3 linked regions of the Caenorhabditis elegans genome follow. The protein of the gene in region 1 interacts with the protein of each later gene in a biochemical or structural test. Each region holds a gene or a part of one and is shown on either strand. Other genes may lie near its edges.

Region 1 (3,173 bases):
TACCGATCCATAATTGTGGTGATCATTGATGTGAATCAACGTCTTATCAACGAGAAATTCACAAATTATCAGCGAACAAGCCCACTGAAACATTCCTCGTTTACGCCACGACAGATGGCCAAGCTCTTATTGGAAGTAGTGGACTACTTTTGGAAGATTATGTAGGAAGTTGATAAACTTGCTTGTTTTAATGATATTTATACCTTTTCAACTACATAAAGACCATAACTATACACTTTTAGGGCTTGAACCATATTCAATCCAGTTATCCTAATTTTACTCCGGCCAAGTAAAAGTTCACATTTTAAATTTTCCAGAAAAACTGCCAAAAACCCAACTTGCGTGACAAGCTTCTGCTTAACTTTTTGCACAAAAAACCTATAAGGAACTTTCAGATCGCGTGACACTTGAATCCGGCGGTGTGGCCGGAACATCTAGTTAAATTACCTGAAACTTGCATTAAACTTCTAGGCTCCTGATCGCGTGACAATCAGAGCCGGTCATGTTACCAGAACCGAGTCACTGCACGATATGCCCCATTAATACTAGATCGACGTTACGAATGGCTGGAGGGGTACATAGAACTAAGATTCTTAGCAAAATTACCTGTATATTATAAGAAGACCCGGCGGAACTACAAAAATGTGATCATCAGATTTAATCAGATTTAGTTGTGTGTACTCTCAAACATGCGAAATTAGTTGAAAAGTCCGCCGCATCTGAACTCCCGCCATTCTCGTAGACCACATTTCTATGGACCACACTGGCGTGTTTAGTGTGTCTGCTAAATCAAGCTGGATTGACTCTGAAGTTCCGAGTTCGATCAGACTGGCATGCTCTTTTGCACAAAAATCCATTGCCAAAAGTCTCAATTTTAAGATTTTCAGATCGCGTGACACTCCGATCCGGTAAAGCAACCGGGACTTGGATCTAGCCGAAAGAAGGTCTGGAAGTGCCTGTTCCACCAAAATTAAAGTTACATATTCCGAGAAAAAATCAAATTACACTGGAAAACTTAATGGGTTTCCCATATTGCGTGACACAACGATTGAATGATATCATCTAGGTGTGATACCGGCCGATCCACGTGATTAAGGAATAATGGGTTCTTAGTAAAGTGAACAGATCGCGTGACAGTTTGATCCGGTCCGGTCACCGGAATAGGAATCGAAAATCTGGCCTACACAAATATTGAAATGATATCACTTGGCCATGGTACCGGAACCAAACCAATGTCACAACTGAAATAGACTCCATACGACCTTCCAGAATTACCAAACAGGAACTTCGTCATCATGGCATTGTCATCATCATCCTCCTCCATTATTTGTAGCATTATACTTGCTTCCACCCGAAAACAACTGCCCATCAAAGAGCTCATGAACAATTACCTTCTCTCTCTCTCTTGACTTGTCACCCGTCTTGATTGAGATTTGTTACATTCTTGGAGAAGACGGAGAGGGACCACGCCTTCTAATTGTTTCCTGCGTGTTTGGTTTTGGAGCACATATAGGTAAGCTGAATAGTATAAAAGCTGTGCAGCCAGCAGAAAGTCAATCGAGTTCCGAGCTTTTTGGGGGTTTCGTTGAGCTTTTTAGAGTTCCGAGCCTAGATTAAGTTTCGTTGGGCTTTTTCACTGTTTCACCCAAAAAAAAAATAAAAACTTCCAGGGTCCCCCTACCATGCGTTTTCTTATTCTCATCGTCGCAATTGTGTTGCTGTCAGCCGTGCATGGCTTCTCGGTAGAGCCACGTCTTGCCGCGTTTGCCGATGGTGGAGCCGCAGAGCTGGCACAGGAAGCTCGTCAAGCTCGCAACGCCGAGCTGGAATTTATCAAGTGAGTTGGGAACTAGATCTTGGAGATTTCGATGTATAAATATGACTTGCTGAATGAGTCGCGTTGCCCTAACTATAATGTTTTTTTAAACTTATTTGGCTTAGGCGTAAGCTTAGGCTTAGGCTTATGCTTAGGCTTAGGCTTATGCTTAGGCTTAGGTTTTGGCTTAGGCTTAGATTTAGGCTCAGGCTTAGACCAAGATTTAGGCTTAGGCTTAGGCTCAGGCCCAGGCTTAGACCTAGGATCAAGGGTGTCAATGTCCCGTAAAAATTACAAAAACGGGACATCGGGACGTCCCGTTCCCGTGAAAACACCCAAAAAACGGGACAACGGGGCAAACGGAACACGGGACTTGACACCCTTGCCTAGGATTAGGCTCAGGCTTAGGCTTAGGCTCAGGCTTGGGCCTAAGCTTAGGTTCAGGCTTAGGCCTAGGCTTAGGCTTAGGCTCCTGATCTCTTCACTATCTCTTCGCTCTAGTGAGTAGGCTCCTTTTCAACAGTCCTCGTTCCCTCTCTCAAAGCCTAATTTTCAGACGATTCCTCCCAGCCAAGGAACGTCGTGCCCCGCTGGAAGGCTTCGAGGACATGTCAGGATTCCTGCGCACCATTGACGGAATCCAAAAGCCACGTTTTGGTTAAACCTGATGCTCAGCTCAATCTGAAATTTGAAATTCTCACAATTTGTTCTCTCTCTCTTTCTCTCTCTTCCTCTGTGTCTGTCGTTTTCTCTGTTCCCTTCTTTCCTTCTCTGTCCTCTTCCCTTGACATCGGTGCGGCCCCGACACTCTTCGTATGCAAAATTAAAGCCAAAAATAAACGATGAGCATTGACAAATATGTTTTATTGATATGGGTGAGAAAAATAAATAGTTGATAAATTAATCAGAACGATTGGATTCCGAGTTCACAGCCATCTCCATAGTAAACTCTGTCGGAGCATGATCCTCTTCGGCTCCACCGCCGGGTCGACTGGAATTTCAGCATTTTCTTTTTGCACAACAATTTCCAGAATCAAAGAAAGAACAAAACCACGTGTAAACAAGAAAGGTATAATAAAGTGTATCGGAAGTGCGTATTGACATGTCACCGGGCATCAAAATACAATTGTCGGGGAGACCAGAATAGCTATTGTTTGCGGGAGGAAATTGATGTCGGATGGGGAAGGGGAGATCTAGGTCAAGTTTCGGCTGGAGCCCTGCCAAGTTTTGACCAAAGGGGCTCAGGCTCAGGTACTCTAAGGCGTTTTGACAACATTTTTTTTATTGAAACCTTGAATTTTGGAACGATTTCAAGCCTTTCTAGGCATATTTGAATTAGAATGTAGTACAGTTTCAC
Region 2 (5,041 bases), on another chromosome or scaffold:
CTAGTTGCACAAATACTTTGAAACACTTGTACTAGGTTAAATATCAAAATGAAAATTCAACAAAAAATCAAAAGTTGGAAAGATAAGTTCGTACCTAATTAAATTTCAACTAGCATTTCTTTCAAAAATTTGAAATTAAGGAATTTTTTTGATTTTTTCTAACCATGATGATCGGTCAACTTTCTCGCCTATCATATATCTAATTATACGGAATTTCGCTCACTTTTGTTTTTTGAACATGCTCATGAAAAAAAGAATATATAATTACATTCTAACCATTGAACAAAAAAAAACGCACTTAAAATGTTCGCGGTGATCATATTACAAATTTGTTCTTGATCAAGAATATCTCATTTTGTTTGAGAATCTACTGTGCAATTCCTGTTTATAACATTTTATTATTATTGTTAATTGAATTTAAAATCGTCCTCTATTTTTTTTCAATTTGAAAACACTAATTGCCAAGCCTGAAAATATAATTTAGTTTGGTTCCGAAGATGAACAGCTTATTATTTTCAAAGAACGCATGTTTGAGATTTAAGATTCAGAGTTGCCAAAATACTTTGAAATTCTATTCAAACTTCTTTTATTTACAAATTTGCAACGAATAACGGAGTGCTGAAATGAACCTCTTCTAGCCCATCGATAGTTTTGTATTCACTTTTAAAGCTGAGAAAATAAAAAAATGTACTGTTTCATCTTATTTTTATAAACACAAAAATATTTATCGAACAATGTTGATTTGATTTTGTGTCCTGAATCTCCTCAACTCATCAAAACCTCATAATTCGTATTTTCCCATTGGTCATCTAAATCCATTATTTTTTTCCAAAATCTCGTGTTCCGGCTTCACTTTTTTTCGATAGCTTTAGTGGAAAAGATTTTAACGACTGGTGCTCATTGCAAACGATGTGAACCCAGTAATTACATTAGAACCCATCGTCCGCCCACCAAAAAGCAATGAGACGTTACTCAATTTGTTCAGAAATGGACCTTCTTAGAAGTAATTCTTTGAATACTTCTTGCAATATTCTGCAAAAATAAACTTTCTGAAACTAGGTGAGAAATAAAAAATTTTCTTGATTTGTTGTGAGTTCTTAAGAATGCTAGAAATTACATAAAACTATAATTGTTTTGTTGGGAAAGTTTAAGATGCCTGACAGTTTTCTTGGAATTTTTTTTCTAAAACAATCAACTAATTTCCATCATTAAATATTTGAATTTCAAACTTTTTTCAATAAAAAAAGATTGAAACTTCTACAACTATTTTGATGTTTTTGATTGAATAAAGCTGGAGTACCGCCCGTGAGGATTCGTTTTAAAAATATTTATAATACTCCAAAATTACCAAATAATTACCTTTTTTTGTAATTTTCCAACATTATAATAGGACAACTGAGTTTCACCACTTTTTGGCTATAGTTTAAAGAATTTAAATAATTCTCTAATTTTAAAACTATGATATTCGAACGTTTCAGGACAAAAAAAATAAAGGAAAATATTGAACCCTTTTTCTTGCTAACTCACCTGGCAGTGACTATTTCCAGCAAAGAAAAAACATCTTTAAAAGTCGTATTACTTGTAAAAACAAATGTGCCGAAAGGTGTATTTATTATGCAACGACATTTTCCTTCTTCCTCTAGTATATATCCACGATTCTTTCCTCATTCCACTACTATATTCATTCCGGAGCTGTTTCCACGAGTCTCTTGACATTTTTTTTCACATTCATTGTCTACTTAATTCTTTTACGACTTTTGCGCTGTTCTATGTTTTTTTGGAACACGTTATTGAATTTGGCAGAAAAAATTAGTCACCTTTTAAGCGGCTTGATATGTTGTTACAAAAAACTTTCAATCACATTTTTCAATCTGTACACTTTTTGTACTCCCTTATCTCTATACTACTTGTATTTACCACTCTTTAAAAACTGATCTTAATTGTTTTTACAGGTAAACACCATCTGGAATCTTTCTAAAAAGAATCTGTAGGCCGATTTTATAGCAACATCACTATAATGACAGTTCACAAAACGTAAGTTGTTTTTAAATGTTTCTGACAGAAAGTTTCAGACAGTAGCATAAACTAAAATAAAACTGTTTCAAATTGTGTACAAATCAAAGGAACGTTGCAGAACAACGATGCTGTTTTTGTTTCAACTTTAAGACGTAACTTTAGATACATGAACATTTAGTGGTCTTCTTCTTTTTTGGTCAAAAAGTGTTCTTTACTTCCTTTCCTGCAAATTGCAAAAAAGAATCGAAAACACAAAAACCAGAATGGTCCTCCACAATTTTGAATAATATATGGCTCACGAACCCTGTCATCCCAGGAATATTTTCATGGTTTCATGGAATTGTTCGTATTTTTCTTGATGATGTGGGTACCAATTCTTCTTAAAAACGTTCAAGTGGGCCATGCTTCATTAATATTTTTGTATTTAAGCTTTCTAAGAAACATCTTCCAAATGTTATCTTGATTTTTTACAAACACCGACATTCGATTTTCAATACATTTTTCTGATCATTTATGCAAATCTGATTTGTTTTTTCCTTTTCTTTTCCTTATTTCAACATTTTTATCATGCCTACTTCATCTTTTTCCCATTCCCATTGCACAAGATTTTCCTCACTATGTTTCTTCAATAGCTTTTCATTATTCCGTGCTTCAACAAAAAATTTATGCGAATTTTAAAATTGAATTCGTACAAACAGGATGTTGGCATCTAGACGAAATGTCGACTGACATTCACAAATGGTTTGACATTTTTGAAATTAATTTTTGTACAGAAAAGTAATTTCCAAAGAATCTAGGATACGGTTGGCATATCGAAATTCCAGTTCCTTATGGGTTTTTTTTCGTAGAAATTTCGAGCGTATAAATACCAGATTTTTCGAAGGCTTTGAGATTTTAGTTTTCATCATCTTGCTGTCAAACTGTACCTAATCGTTTGAATTTAAAGTTGAAAGCTTGATTGAAACCTGTAAATTTTTACTGTACCGAGATCAGAGTGATAACTTTGCGATAACATCACACAGTTGTACCATCAAGCGGACAATATTTCGCCAATTTGGAAATCTCGCAATCAATAGATATTTGATTGGGACCAGATCATTTAGTTAGTTTATTCTTAGGTATTTGAAGCTCAACTTATTCACAAAATGTTTTGCTAAATTTCCAAGAGTCCACCTACAATTTAATAGTCTTATTTGGCATTTCCGTATGCCCACCCACCTCCATTTACTTACTCTATTCTTGTCCATTTCCTGTGTATTCTATGTTTTGAAACACACTCAAATTCACCTTACCCATTCAATTTTACAAATTCCTAACCTCGAAGGAGGTACTTCATTGAGAAGAGCTAATCGACTCCTATTCTTCGTTTCTTCTTCTTTTTTTACATTTTGTTTCAAAAGAGTGCTGTGACGATAAGAATTTATTTTATATCAGGTCATCATTTTCTGTGAGCAAACTAGATATTTTAAGTGAAAAATTATAGTTTAAAAAAAAAATTAGTAACATTTTCAGACGTATACGTACTACTTGACTGTCTCATGATTGCCTACTGAATGTTTCCTCATATGTTAGCGTGGGCTCCAGCTTTTGATTTTTGTGCCTTACGCATTTTTGTAATCTCAGTTCATGCAACACATTTTCAAGAAGTTTGACAAATAGGCATTTTTGGTCGCGGAAGAGTTAAATAATATCACTCTAGAAATGTAGCTTTTATATTCCCAATTGGCGTCAATAAATTATTCATTTTTCATAATTTCTGATTATTATTCAAATGTTTTTAAGTACCAGGGTGTACCAAGCATCTCTAATTAGTTACCATGACAAATTGATCCCCATAGTTTGAAGCTTATACCAATAGTATTAATCTTCTCAATTTTTGAAGACTCTTTTAATATTTAATTCATTTCTCTTCGCCTCTTCCTACATTTTCTATTTTTATTCTTGACTTCCTGCTCTTCGCGGACCTTTTGAGAGCATTTTGTCGTAAAATTAAATAAAAATTGAAGGGGGAATGAGCAGGAAGAGAAATTGCAATTTGCTCTTCACCTTTGAGTATAAAAAAGAAAGAAAAAAAGAGCACACAATAAAATATATTTCAATTTCAATTTACCTTCCAATCAATTCTTATCTGGATTTCATTGTTCTTTTTTGGTTTTTAGTCTCTTCATCAAACCCCGCTGGGATTTTTTAGGGTAATGGAGTCTGAAAAAGAGGAATTGAATAAAAGAAGCAACGAAAGATTTAGAATCATAGATTACGAATCAAATGGAACACGAGATTTCTTGCTGAAGTTAGCAAATAACAACCACTAATCGTCAATTTTTGTCACTTTTACAAAGAATTTTTTGGAAGATTTTTGGAATGATGCTTATCAAGAGCATCATCCTAATTGTAGACCTTCACATTAGAAAAATCAAAGTTAATGCGCAAGTTCATCTCAAGCGAACAGTAATCACAAACTCCAAGAGCCCCGTTTTTGGTCAATTGTTTTTTATTTGATCTGTGCCAAGAATATATTAATTTTTCTTTTTTTTTCAATTTTAATCATGTATTTCATTATAATTTCTCATAACAAATTCGTGGGGGTATGAAGCCCTAATTTGTTCCTCATCTTGAAGCATCATCCACCTCCATTTTAATGTGTTTTTTGGAACAGCTTATTTTTTATTCGGCACATAAAAATATTTTTTAGGAGGCTTGTACAGAAATTTAAAAAAATTCTAATTTTTAGGATTAAGCATTAAGTTTATCTTCTTATCCTGTTACATTTATCATAAACTTCGCCGAGTGTCACAATTTTTTTTGTGAAGTATATTTTTGTCGGATAAAAATTTCTCAAAAGCAAATTATTTGCTCTAATATATTTTTAATATACTTCCCATTGTATGATTCTAGTTTCAAGCTCATCTACTAGTCATCCGACACTTGTTTTTCAACAAGAAAAAAAACAACAAAAAAATTGGAGAAACCTTGGACCCATCGTCTCCGTTTCCCCCGACGTCGCTACTTTTCTATTCTTGTCTAT
Region 3 (4,046 bases), on another chromosome or scaffold:
TTTCGACATTTTTCTGTGAAAACAAGATTAGAGAGGGTTTCTCAAAATTTTATGAAACGCTCCTTTTATACATATGCACGTTCGAATTAAAGATTAGTTTTGGACGTATCTAGTTTTTTTCCAAGAAATAAAATGCAGAACATACTCTTTTTAAGAAGGTCATTTGACATAAAACATCTTTGCATACTACCACAACAAGTTCCTAATCCTTCCTTTTCTCCGTCACTCAATAAAGCTCTGAGAGCACTCAAAAATCATCGAACATGTTGGTGAGAAAATGATGAATCAGTTATTAGTGGCGCGAGAACCCTGAAAAATCTTTGAAAAACCGGGATGACCCCAAAATAAGTTGTATTTTCTATTCTGTTCGTCGAACTCTTCTCGTGCTTTATTGAATTTCAGTTCTTTCTCAGAAGCAATTTTGTTGGCTTTGATTTCAACAAACTTAGTCCCGCCCATTTGTTCTTTCAACCACTAATTACATACCACAAAACTGTCTTGATAATTTCTATTTATCACGCAACTCGTTTTTTCTGCCACGTCATCAAGCTGAAGTTCGAGACTTTTGATTGAAGGTTTCAAGATGTTTCAGCTGTTTCCTCATTACTTATCTTGCGTAATACCTAGTCAATTGAGTTTTAAACGGTCCCTGAAAACTTTGAGCATATAATGGGTCTTTTATTTGGCAGGTCGTCTGAAAAATAAGCGGTCTGGGATTTAAGTTCACTTTCTAATCCTTTTGCATCTCTAGCTAATTGTAAGCAAAGAGCTTATAACTGTACAATAATAGTACATTTTTAAGAACTTTTCGAATGTTAATTTTATAAAGTTTCCATATCATCATTTTGAAATAGTATCACGTTTTTCAAAGCAAGTTTCAGACTTGTGCCCCAGTAAAATACAAAATAAAAACAAAGCGATAAATAACTTGTAGTATATTGTTCATAAAAACACCTCATCACTATTTATTATTTCTACCATATCCGCCCTCTGGATATAAAAGAGTACAATTCCACGTCACTAACTATGTATGTTTTATCATGATATAAACTGGGTTTTTATTCCAGTCTGTTCATAATTTTTTTGCCATTTCAAGCTTGTAATAAATTTTCATGAATATAAATTATTATTTTTTAATTCAATTTAATCAATCAACTTTAATGTCATTGTTGGAGCTCATGACAGAAAGAAATCCAGAATATTCTTGTTTTCAATCTAAAAACATTGAAATTTCAATCAAGAAAGTGTTCTGCAATAACATTTTTTTAACTTCGTGCACTTTGCTGGATGCAATTTCCTATCTCATTTCCTCTTGTCTTCAGGTAATCGATGCATTTCCTTTTTTGAGCTTTATAAACTATCTATTTCAGATTTTGGATATATTTTAAAAACTCAAAAATCTTTGAAAACTCTCATTATTCTTGAGAGTTGTTCCACCCAGATTCTCCCTTTTCCGCTCTATTAATACATTTTAATAATGAGAATAAGACGCTTCTTCTTCCTTATTCCTCATTTTCAGTAAATATGTTATAACTCCAACTTCCACTTTTTTGTAGTTTGTCATTTCAAAGTACCTTATGAAAGTTCTTTTTGTCAACTCCAGACAGACAAGTAACGTCAGTTGACTAAATGATACTTTTTGTTTAATTATTGCTTTTCGTTCTGTTTTCATATAAAAATCTTCCGCCTGTGATGGGATGTGTTAGTTGTTTTTGAAAATATTTTGAATAAAGTGGAAATAATGCAAGAGTTCGGAGCACAATAGGTGTGCTCAAAAAATATTTATTCCCGATGCTTCTTTTTTACATGTTTCCTGGTTTTGTAGCTCTCTTGAAAATCAATTTTCTTATTTTCGTTTTTTTTTCTAGGGAAAATGTTTCTTTGCTCGACAAGTGTATATGACATTTCTCCAGCTCTGTAATTACAAAAGATTTCGAAAATTTTCAATCGACAATTTTCAGATTCAATTTCTCGAACAATATGCAATTGACTGGATGGCCCGAATATGTTTCAATGATTTATCTTCCAATAATACTAGTTGGATTAGTTGGAAATGGATTGTCCCTATACGTCTACACAACTCCAAACATGCGAAAGTCAACTGTCGCCTTCTTACTCTACTCACTTTCAATTTGTGACATTTTTGTGCTTCTTTTTGCGCTTCCACTATATAGCATCTCATATTTGCCTATTTGGTTAGTTTGCAATATTTTTTTTAATTGGTTTTAACTATCTTGTTTTCAGGGACAATGTCTATGGTGCTTGGTCAATGCGCCGTATGTTTATTGCATTTTCAACAAAATTCTTCTATCCGTTATGCATGACTGCAAAAACTGCAAGTCTTTATATAATGGTGGTGATTACTGTAGAACGATGGATTGCAGTCTGCCGACCGTTACAGGTAAGTCTTGTGAAGTGAAATTGTCAATAGACAATTGGAAACTATTCACATCAGAATTTTATTTCAAATTATAATCTCAACACAGAAAATCTAATTTGAAAATATTTACAGGTCCACATTTGGTGCACATTCAAAAACTCAGTTAGAATTGTTATAGCCATCATAACATTTTCAATTATTCTGAACTTCCCTAAATTCTTTGAATACCAAATTGGCTATTCGGATGCATTGGGATACTGGCCAAAACGTGGAATTTTGGATGCAGAAGAGCACTGGTGGTACTACATTTCATATTTTATCATCATTTCTGTCATTTTTGACTACCTTCTGCCATTTGTTATAATGTTCATTGCAAACATGAAAGTCATCAATGAACTGAGAAAATCAAGGAAGGAGAGAGCACTTTTGACGACTTCGGTAAATATTTTACACGTTTGTATTCTATTATTATTATATTTCCAGCTTCAAAAAGAGCAAAATACAACTGTGATGTTGTTGGTTGTGACTATTCTCTTTGGATTCTGTCACTTTTTCAGTATGGCTCTCAAATTGTTCGAGAGCATTTTTAAAGATTTTCTCAATCGACACGTACGTTTTTAAAAGATTTAAATAAAATAATCTGAACATGTCATTTCAGAATGAATATTTCGAAGTGATGATTGAAGTATCTAATATTCTCATCGTCATTCATATTGGCACGACATTCTTCATATATTACTTTTTCTCGGCTAGATTCAGGAATATTTTGTGCTATTTGTTCAAGTAAATTTTAAAATCAAAATCTTATTCTTTCAATTAAATATTATTTTAGAAAACGAAGCAACCTTCCGGATAATAGCCTCACAGACTTGAACAAACGGAAGCTTCTTCAAAAATCCGATTCAATATGTACTTCACTGGCAAAAACATCACCAAAAACATCAATGGCATAATAATCTGAAAATAGGATATATAGTAGTCTCCCAATCTCTTGATCTTTTGTTTCTGATATTTCTTTTTTACTTCCTTGGATCTTTTTGTTCCTGCTTGCCATCCTCTTCGGCGTCATAATAATCATTCCGAAAGTTGTTTTCCTATATCTTACGAACGGTTCAATGAAATAAAATGTTGTGAATTTTATTTATGATATGCTAAAAATTAGACGATATATATGGAAACAAACTGTCTGGTTAAGGAAAAGTATGAATATATAATTTTAGCTTTTGAGATAGTGATCTCGGTACAAAAATCAAAAGTTAAAGGTCTAAAGTTCAAACAATCATGCAACTTTCCAAATATACTAACAGAAGCCACATTCTTGGAAACCTCCAGAAAGTGCGAAGCATCCTGCACGTTTTTAATGCATAGTTTAAGGAAAATATTGAAAATGAAGAAGTAAAAACCAAAAGATGGAAAAATTATTTATGAGAATAAAAGAAGGTAATCATGGGAAATTTAGAATCTCAAAAGTTTGTTCCTCGAATGCTTTTGATTACTTCGGAGCAAATGAAAAGAAAAGATGCAATAAATGAAACCAAAAAAATAGGACTTGTGATCTTTAGGAACTAGAATTAAAAAAATAACCAAATGTTAAATATAGATTGGTTTTGATTTGTTCAAAATATCGTAACATGCAATTGTGAATTTTAAAGTTCATCTACTATTT

What was found.
Region 2: the proteins of flp-33 (region 1) and npr-12 interact in a test that uses a peptide from one of them, tested with the Caenorhabditis elegans proteins (one large-scale study listed by BioGRID).
Region 3: the proteins of flp-33 (region 1) and frpr-6 interact in a test that uses a peptide from one of them, tested with the Caenorhabditis elegans proteins (one large-scale study listed by BioGRID).

What each region holds. Positions count from the first base shown.
Region 1 is NC_003279.8:12,623,734-12,626,906, reverse strand, and holds flp-33 (FMRF-Like Peptide), read left to right. Parts: upstream 1-1,668; 5' UTR 1,669-1,682; coding exon 1,683-1,837; intron 1,838-2,372; coding exon 2,373-2,478; 3' UTR 2,479-2,673; downstream 2,674-3,173. Other genes in the region: T07D10.3 (C2H2-type domain-containing protein), read left to right, coding at 1-165; ntr-1 (G-protein coupled receptors family 1 profile domain-containing protein), read right to left, coding at 2,717-2,807.
Region 2 is NC_003282.8:6,934,625-6,939,665, reverse strand, and holds the start of npr-12 (G-protein coupled receptors family 1 profile domain-containing protein), read left to right. Parts: upstream 1-2,017; coding exon 2,018-2,034; intron 2,035-4,605; exon of another isoform or gene 4,606-4,626; intron 4,627-5,041.
Region 3 is NC_003283.11:9,099,068-9,103,113, reverse strand, and holds frpr-6 (G-protein coupled receptors family 1 profile domain-containing protein), read left to right. Parts: upstream 1-1,951; 5' UTR 1,952-1,980; coding exon 1,981-2,195; intron 2,196-2,244; coding exon 2,245-2,401; intron 2,402-2,512; coding exon 2,513-2,818; intron 2,819-2,863; coding exon 2,864-2,989; intron 2,990-3,038; coding exon 3,039-3,163; intron 3,164-3,212; coding exon 3,213-3,333; 3' UTR 3,334-3,522; downstream 3,523-4,046.